Xenopus tropicalis: one gene and its partner. The protein of the gene in region 2 purifies or fractionates together with the protein of the main gene of each other region. This does not show direct contact. Links are inferred from orthologs where the notes say so. Each region holds a gene or a part of one and is shown on either strand. Other genes may lie near its edges.

Region 1 (3,519 bases), on a different chromosome or scaffold from region 2:
GATAAATAAGATTGGGGGGCAAATCAAGAATGCACGGAGGGAACCAGGATCCAGAAAGACAAGAGGGGAAAGAGTAGATCAGTTTAGTGCAGTATAAAGAGAAGAACAAAGTTAAAGAAAAACATTTCAGTTGAAATATAAAGGTGAGAGGGAGTTACAAGAGCAAGACTTATAAACAGGGAGTGGAGTAAAAGAGAGAGGCAAGGGAAAGCAGAAAGAGTCAGAGCGAGAGAGATAGAGAGGGAAATAAAGCCAGACAAGTGAACCCGGAAAAGGGAAAGCAAGAGCAGAATATATATAAAATGTTGAAGGGAAAGTAGTAGGAACAAGAAAAAGAGGGGAAATGACAACATGCACAAAGTGAGTGGAATCCTCCCCTGGAAGTGAACTGATACCAAACTCTGGGGTTTTCCCTGTTGGGAGCCTTTGGAAATGGATATGGGTGGTTGTAGCAAGCAAGAGACCACAGCACTCAGAGATACCTTGGGAGGCAAGCATGGCTCCTGCTGTCTCCTGAAATTCCAGCAGCTGCTGCAGAAACAGGATGGCCTGTATAGGGAGCAGAGAGATCAGTTTTACTGGGGCAGACGTATCATTAACACAAGATTCTCCCGACAAACCTGCCTATCCCATGAGTCCTTCCCATGGCACACTCACTAACCCACAATGCCATGCACACACTGCTCAGAACACATTATTCACCAACATAATGGCTGTAAAACTCACATTGCTGGTGATCTCATGAACTGTGCCATCCTTTGACACACTGGTCTCCTTTGGTTCATTCTGGATAAGAAGGACACAACTCTATTAGATTGAAACCGACCAGCACCCATGAACAGTTTCACTTCCCAGTAAGTGCCCATTACCTTTATACAGTCTGCAAAATCCTCTAAAGCCTTGGCACCAGTTGCCTCTATAGAGGTGATGAGGTTGGGCAGCTTGTTCTTTGTGCCAGCTGCGGTGCCCTAAATAGATTGGGAGATGGGTCAGAGAGGGTGCATGATGTTTGGGTAATCCCCCACAAGCACCAAGCACTTACCTGGAGAACCTTGTCAAACTCAGGCTTTGTAAGTTTCAGGTGCCTTAGGATGGGGAAGATACTCAGGACAGAGGTGAAATCATGTCTGGCATTGGCTTTCTTAGCAGCGGATACAATATTCTCACCCTCCTGGATAAGGTTGTCCAAGGTCTCCTGAAATAATAAGGGAGCAATAGATAAGCCCTGAGCACATCTCTGAGATACTTAGTGACCCCCAAATTAGGAAGGTGGCAACGGCAGACCTGGATGAGTGAATCGAAAGTCTTCTTCTGGTGGTGCTCCGGTATAATATACGTCAGCAGCTGGTACTCACTCTGGGCTAGCCGGACAAAGGCACTGATGCAGTAGATGTAGGTGTCAGTCTCTAGATCAAGGGCATCCTCCTTCCCTGCAAAGGCAGGCAAGTTACATATAGATCCTCGCTGTCACTTAGTTATTGGTAATGGACCACGGTGCCGGTCTCAGTTCAAATACTGATGGCTACGAGTTTTATAAAGACCTCTGATAACACCTTTTTTAAAGAAGGGACCCTCTATATCCCAAAGGACCCAGTACTCACCAGAGGCCGGGCCGTGTTTCTCTCCCACGGCCTCTCCGTGGTATCGGCCACGTGATTCTTGCTCAAGACCTGCTCAATGTGGAGGCAGGGGACAGGGTTATATGGCACATCTTGTAAACGCCCGGCCCGAGGCAATGGGCTGACCGGTGTCCGGACAAGTGAGGAGGGGATTGTAGGGTAGGTGGGAATGTCAATCAACGACTTTCCCTTTAGATCATATAGCCAGTGTTATCCATAGAGCCCCACAGGCTACATTCTTCTGTAAAATCCTTCCACATTATCTGCCATTGTGCCACCAAGACAGGGCTTATAATTTGACAGGAAGGGTTTTTATTTGCCTTTCCAGTGTAGGCTTACAGAAGGATACGGCCTGTTTTACTCCCTACACCAAGATATACACCAAGATTCAGTTCCTATCTGGGCCTGGTTTTAAATCTCTGAGCAGAAGGTTCAGATTGGAGAAAGAAAGCCGGATCAGTGGAGAAACGTGCAAATTACCTTCAAGGACTCCGAGACTGGACCCTCCCTTTTTCCCATCCAGCCCGTGCTGAGAGTATTGTTTGAGGAGGTTCTGAGCCTTGCGGATAGTGCCTGTCACCAAGAGGAGAGTGGGAAAGAGAAAATAGGGAGGGAGACAAGACCTTGGAAAGTGAGCAGGAAGACCCCACCGAGCACAGAAATGGAAGACACACACCCTTCAATACCGGCATTTCAAGAGATATTCACCCCACGTAGCGCAACCAAGCAGCTAATGATACTGGCTCTGCAGCACCCACCACCTCCATGCTGGGAAAAAACAAAGGAGGCCTCTATGGCACAACATAAGCTAGACTGTAGTACAATTAGGGGGGGGCAAAATGCAATTGAGGCATACATATTTACTATTGAAGACAGTCATATTTTTATAAGATGGATAATCCATGGGCCCATGGCAAAAATTTCACAGTACAAATAATAATTACCAAAACGTTTTATATTGCTCCAAAGCTGGCACTTGTACCAACTAGATGAAGCCCCATAAAAGCTAGGTGGAAGCCTAGAATTTGGGAGGCCTGTAATTCAATTTCCCAGCATGCAATGTGTGAAAGAAAGAGACGAGGGCAAAATTGTGTTAAGTTAAGCCAGCAGTTAATAAAAGGCAGTCTATTCCCACCCACTAGCCTCGGACACTCGGAAAAGCCTGGTATCTGGGGAGGCGGCAGGCTGGCAAAACAAGGGTTAACATGTCATATAAACACTTTTCAAACAATTCAAAAGACAGACAGCAGTAAGATATGTGACAAGGGAGGGAAGTAACAACCCTCAGGTACCAAGCGAGGGCACTTTCTGGAAACAAGCGGCAAACACGGCGGATTATTCAAACAGGAAAGTTTGCTATAGGCTGGGTTTTACACGTGCCTCGTGCACATCACAGAGATGCTGCGTGTTTTGGTTAGTGCTGGCCCTGCACACTGGCAGGAAAGCGTCCGCTTTGTATTACCTGGCACGAAGACTGGAACCGGCACATAACAGGGAGGAAACAGACATCTATCAATACCTCTGGACTTGATAAGGAAAGTCTGCATTAAAGGGAAACATTTCCTTGCCCGAATACGTATAGTTATTAATATCAGCACGAGCTGCTATGTTGTATGAGGGTATATATACACTTCCCTTCTCTGTGTATATGTGTTTATACATAAAGGAGGGAGCAGACACATCTTATTAACAGTATAAGGAAATGGCTTGTGTCATAGAATAGTGGCGTACTGCTTAGCCTTGCTCCAAACCAGAAACTGTGGTACTACCATTTTGTATTTAGTGCCCTCACTACACTGGCTGATAGGGAAATCCATTAACCCCCAACCCAACTAGATGATGTTGATATAGTAGCCATGCCCTCTGCGCTCTCAGACCCCACATCTGACCTGGCCTTTTG
Region 2 (3,967 bases):
GCTGTAAAAGACTCGTTGCAAGTTATCGCAAACGCTTGATTGCAGTTATTGCTGCTAAGGGTGGCCCAACCAGTTATTAGGTTCAGGGGGCAATTACTTTTTCACACAGGGCCATGTAGGTTTGGATTTTTTTTCTCCCTAAATAATAAAAACCCTCATTTAAAAACTGCATTTTGTGTTCACTTGTGTTATCTTTGACTAATAGTTAAATGTGTTTGATGATCAGAAACATTTTGTGTGACAAACCTGCAAAAGAATAAGAAATCAGGAAGGGGGCAAATAGTTTTTCACACCACTGTATATATATATATATATATATATATATATTTATTACACACACACACAAACTATTTAAGGGGGTACTATCACTATAAAAGCTGGAAAGCTGCAGAAGATGAAGGCAAATTATTAAAAAAAACAAAAAACTAACAAATAATTTAGATCAATTGCAAAGTTGCAAGGAATAGGGCATTCTATACCATATTAAAAGCTAACTTAAAGGTGAACGACCCCTTTAAAATATTCCCCTTACCATCACAGCCACCTAGTTAAAGCTTCTGCACCATACACTTGTATATTACTTTGTAAGAGATACACTCAAAACACACAAACTGCTGTGTACAGTGAAGTCTGTATGTTATATGCTACACCCACACAGCTAACAGTTTGGCCAATCAATCACTGACTGCACTAAAAATTAAAGAAGGAAAGGTAAAAACTAAGTAAGCATTATCATAAAGGTCTATGTAAATACAGCCATAAGCACTTACAGAAACGCTACACTGAGTTCTCTTTCAAAAGAAACACAGGATTTCTAGTCTTTGTTTTCCTGTGCCAGAGACACGCAGCTCTCTCCTCTCTCCTGCTCCCGCCTCCCTCAAGAATGCTAAGAACTCCCTCCCCCCCATAGGAATGTGGATCTGAGCCAATCAGCAGGAAGCTTCCTCATAGGTCTTACACACTAAGCATGTACACCAATCTTGGTGCAGGAGCAAGGCATTATGGGAAGTTAGCAAGCGCACAAAGACTGAAGAGGAGACACTCGCTCGCAGCTACCCCGGGCTGGTGCACTTTTCTTCTCACAGGAGCACCAGCCTGGGGTAAAAGGTAAGCGATTAAAGTCACTGGGGGTGCCTAACATTTTGGCACCCCCCAGTGAGTTAGCCTTTCCTTCTCCTTTAAATTAAGACATCTATACCTGTCATGAACTAAGTCCAAAATCTCAGCTGTCAATTATATTTGCCTCAGGCATACAGGTGGGACAGGCAGTCACTTTATATTCTGCATTTCCTAGATGTCACTGCACTCCTCTCATTCCCCCTACCTCCCCCATGGTCCATAACTGTATGCTGTGCATATGCAGGGCCCTCCCCCCTAGAACATTGGTAGTGAGGGGTTACGTTTTGCATTGGTAGCCAGGGGTTACGTTTTGCATTGGTAGCCAGGGCAGGGACCCCCTAAAACATTGCTGGTCCTCCCCCAGCGTCCCCATACTATGGGCCACTGCCCACTGCAGCATCCTCCCCAACATCATCCTTCAGCTCCCCCCAGCGTCCTCCCCAACATCCTTCAGCTCCCCCCAGCGTCCTCCCCAACATCCTCCAGCTCCTCTCAGCATCCTCCCCAACATCTTCCAGCTCACCCCAGCGTACTCCCCAACATCAATCAACTCCTCCCAGCATACTCCCCAACATCAATCAACTCCTCCCAGCATACTCCCCAACATCAATCAGCTCCCCCCAGCATACTCCCCAACATCAATCAGCTCCCCCCAGCATACTCCCCAACATCAATCAGCTCCCCCCAGCATACTCCCCAACATCAATCAGCTCCCCCCAGCATACTCCCCAACATCAATCAGCTCCCCCCAGCATACTCCCCAACATCAATCAGCTCCCCCCAGCATACTCCCCAACATCAATCAGCTCCCCCCAGCATACTCCCCAACATCAATCAGCTCCCCCCAGCATACTCCCCAACATCTTCCAGCTCACCCCAGCGTACTCCCCAACATCAATCAACTCCTCCCAGCATACTCCCCAACATCAATCAGCTCCCCCAGCATACTCCCCAACATCAATCAGCTCCCCCCAGCATACTCCCCAACATCAATCAGCTCCCCCCAGCATACTCCCCAACATCAATCAGCTCCCCCCAGCATACTCCCCAACATCAATCAGCTCCCCCCAGCATACTCCCCAACATCAATCAGCTCCCCCAGCGTACTCCCCAACATCAATCAGCTCCCCCCAGCGTACTCCCCAACATCTTCCAGCTCCCCCCAGCATACTCCCCAACATCAATCAGCTCCCCCCAGCATACTCCCCAACATCAATCAGCTCCCCCCAGCATACTCCCCAACATCAATCAGCTCCCCCCAGCATACTCCCCAACATCAATCAGCTCCTCCCAGCGTACTCCCCAACATCTTCCAGCTCACCCCAGCATACTCCCCAACATCTTCCAGCTCCCCCCAGCATACTCCCCAACATCAATCAGCTCCCCCCAGCATACTCCCCAACATCAATCAGCTCCCCCAGCATACTCCCCAACATCAATCAGCTCCCCCCAGCATACTCCCCAACAACTTCCAGCTCACCCCTGCGTACTCCCCAACATCCTTCAGCTCCCCCCAGCGTCCTCCCCAACATACTCCAACTCCCCCGCAATGTTCTCCCCCACCGCTCGCCTACTTCTTCCGGCTGCGTCCGCCTGTTTTCCCCCGGCTGCCTCCCCCGTCTCTTCTTACGTTCCCCGGCTCGCCGCTGCAGCTACTCTATGATAAGGTTGCGCCCCGTGCGTGCTGACGTCACGCGTACGCACGGGGCGCAACCAATCAAATTACCCGCTGACCACCAATGCACTAAGGCCTGGAACTCTTTAAAGGGGGCCCGTGCTTATAACTGTATCGCGGCCGGGCCCGGGACAACTGTGCCCCCCTGATGGCGGCCCTGCATACAACTTTTACATTGTTACTGTGTACTCAGCTGTAGCCCCTAATTCCTATGGTTTATGGATCACACAAATTTTTTTTTGTATGTGACATTAAAAATAACTCACACTGCCACGTCTGACAGAGTCTATGCAATGATTAGTGAGTTTTTTTTTTATATATAAGATCCTCCATTCAGAACCCGCTTGAACTAGCCAAGTGAAGCACAGGAGTGAAGGTGGGACAATTGTAAAGCACTCTTTTAACCTCAGAGGAGAAAATGAATGGCATGTCAGCTGAAGTGCATCAATCTTTTTATTGCATGGAATGGGCCTCTGTAAATATGGGGCCCACAAGAGGGGTCATTTAAGTCTTTTACCACCTGCCAGCTGCTGCCTTGGTCCCGACACTTGCTGCTGATGCCTACATCATACTATCACAGCCTGCCCTAAAAGTGATGAGCCTAACTGTGGGGGGAATGATTTTTAACGCCGTGTCAGTCCCTGCTGGTGGTTAATATTAGGGTTGTCTGTAGCAATTTTGTGATGGGGTGAATTTCAGGCTTAATGGGTCACAGTACCAATTTATACTAGGGTATTATTTGTTGCTGAGGCTTATTGTACCATTTTATGTGGGTTTAATGTGCCCTTTAATGAGTGCTGTAAAAGGTTTCCTCGTGTATAAATGTTGAGGATTATTCTGGCCTATATCAATCTATTGTGCTACTAAACCTGTATAAATTTTTTTTGTAGTCTTGTATGTATGTATGTATGTAAAACTTTATTTAGAAAGCGCTACAAGGATACACAGGGCTGTACAATTTTACAACAGAGAAACTTACACACAGGGAGGACAACTATTATAATAAATACAATAAATAAGTGTAAATACGCAGTGCCATGTGGTATCATTTACGGTAGGAAGGAGGTCTCTGTCCCGTAGAGCTTACACTCTATGGGGCTGATTTACTAACCCACGAATCCGACCCGAATTGGAAAAGTTCCGACTTGAAAACGAACATTTTGCGATTTTTTC

Evidence for each region. The genes of interacting proteins can lie anywhere in the genome.
Region 1: the proteins of exoc2 (region 2) and exoc7 fractionate together in Homo sapiens (co-fractionation; 4 studies listed by BioGRID, with this or other methods). This does not show direct contact. The link is inferred for Xenopus tropicalis from reciprocal best matches to the Homo sapiens genes EXOC2 and EXOC7.

The regions. Positions count from the first base shown.
Region 1 is NC_030686.2:45,038,646-45,042,164, forward strand, and holds part of exoc7 (exocyst complex component 7), read right to left. Parts: coding exon 3,509-3,519; intron 3,094-3,508; coding exon of another isoform or gene 3,082-3,093; intron 2,193-3,081; coding exon of another isoform or gene 2,025-2,192; intron 1,671-2,024; coding exon 1,602-1,670; intron 1,431-1,601; coding exon 1,285-1,430; intron 1,196-1,284; coding exon 1,043-1,195; intron 969-1,042; coding exon 870-968; intron 787-869; coding exon 727-786; intron 550-726; coding exon 483-549; intron 1-482. UniProt on the Homo sapiens protein: Component of the exocyst complex involved in the docking of exocytic vesicles with fusion sites on the plasma membrane.
Region 2 is NC_030682.2:87,070,881-87,074,847, reverse strand, and holds the start of exoc2 (exocyst complex component 2), read right to left. Parts: upstream 2,803-3,967; 5' UTR 2,694-2,802; exon of another isoform or gene 2,654-2,693; intron 1-2,653. UniProt on the Homo sapiens protein: Component of the exocyst complex involved in the docking of exocytic vesicles with fusion sites on the plasma membrane.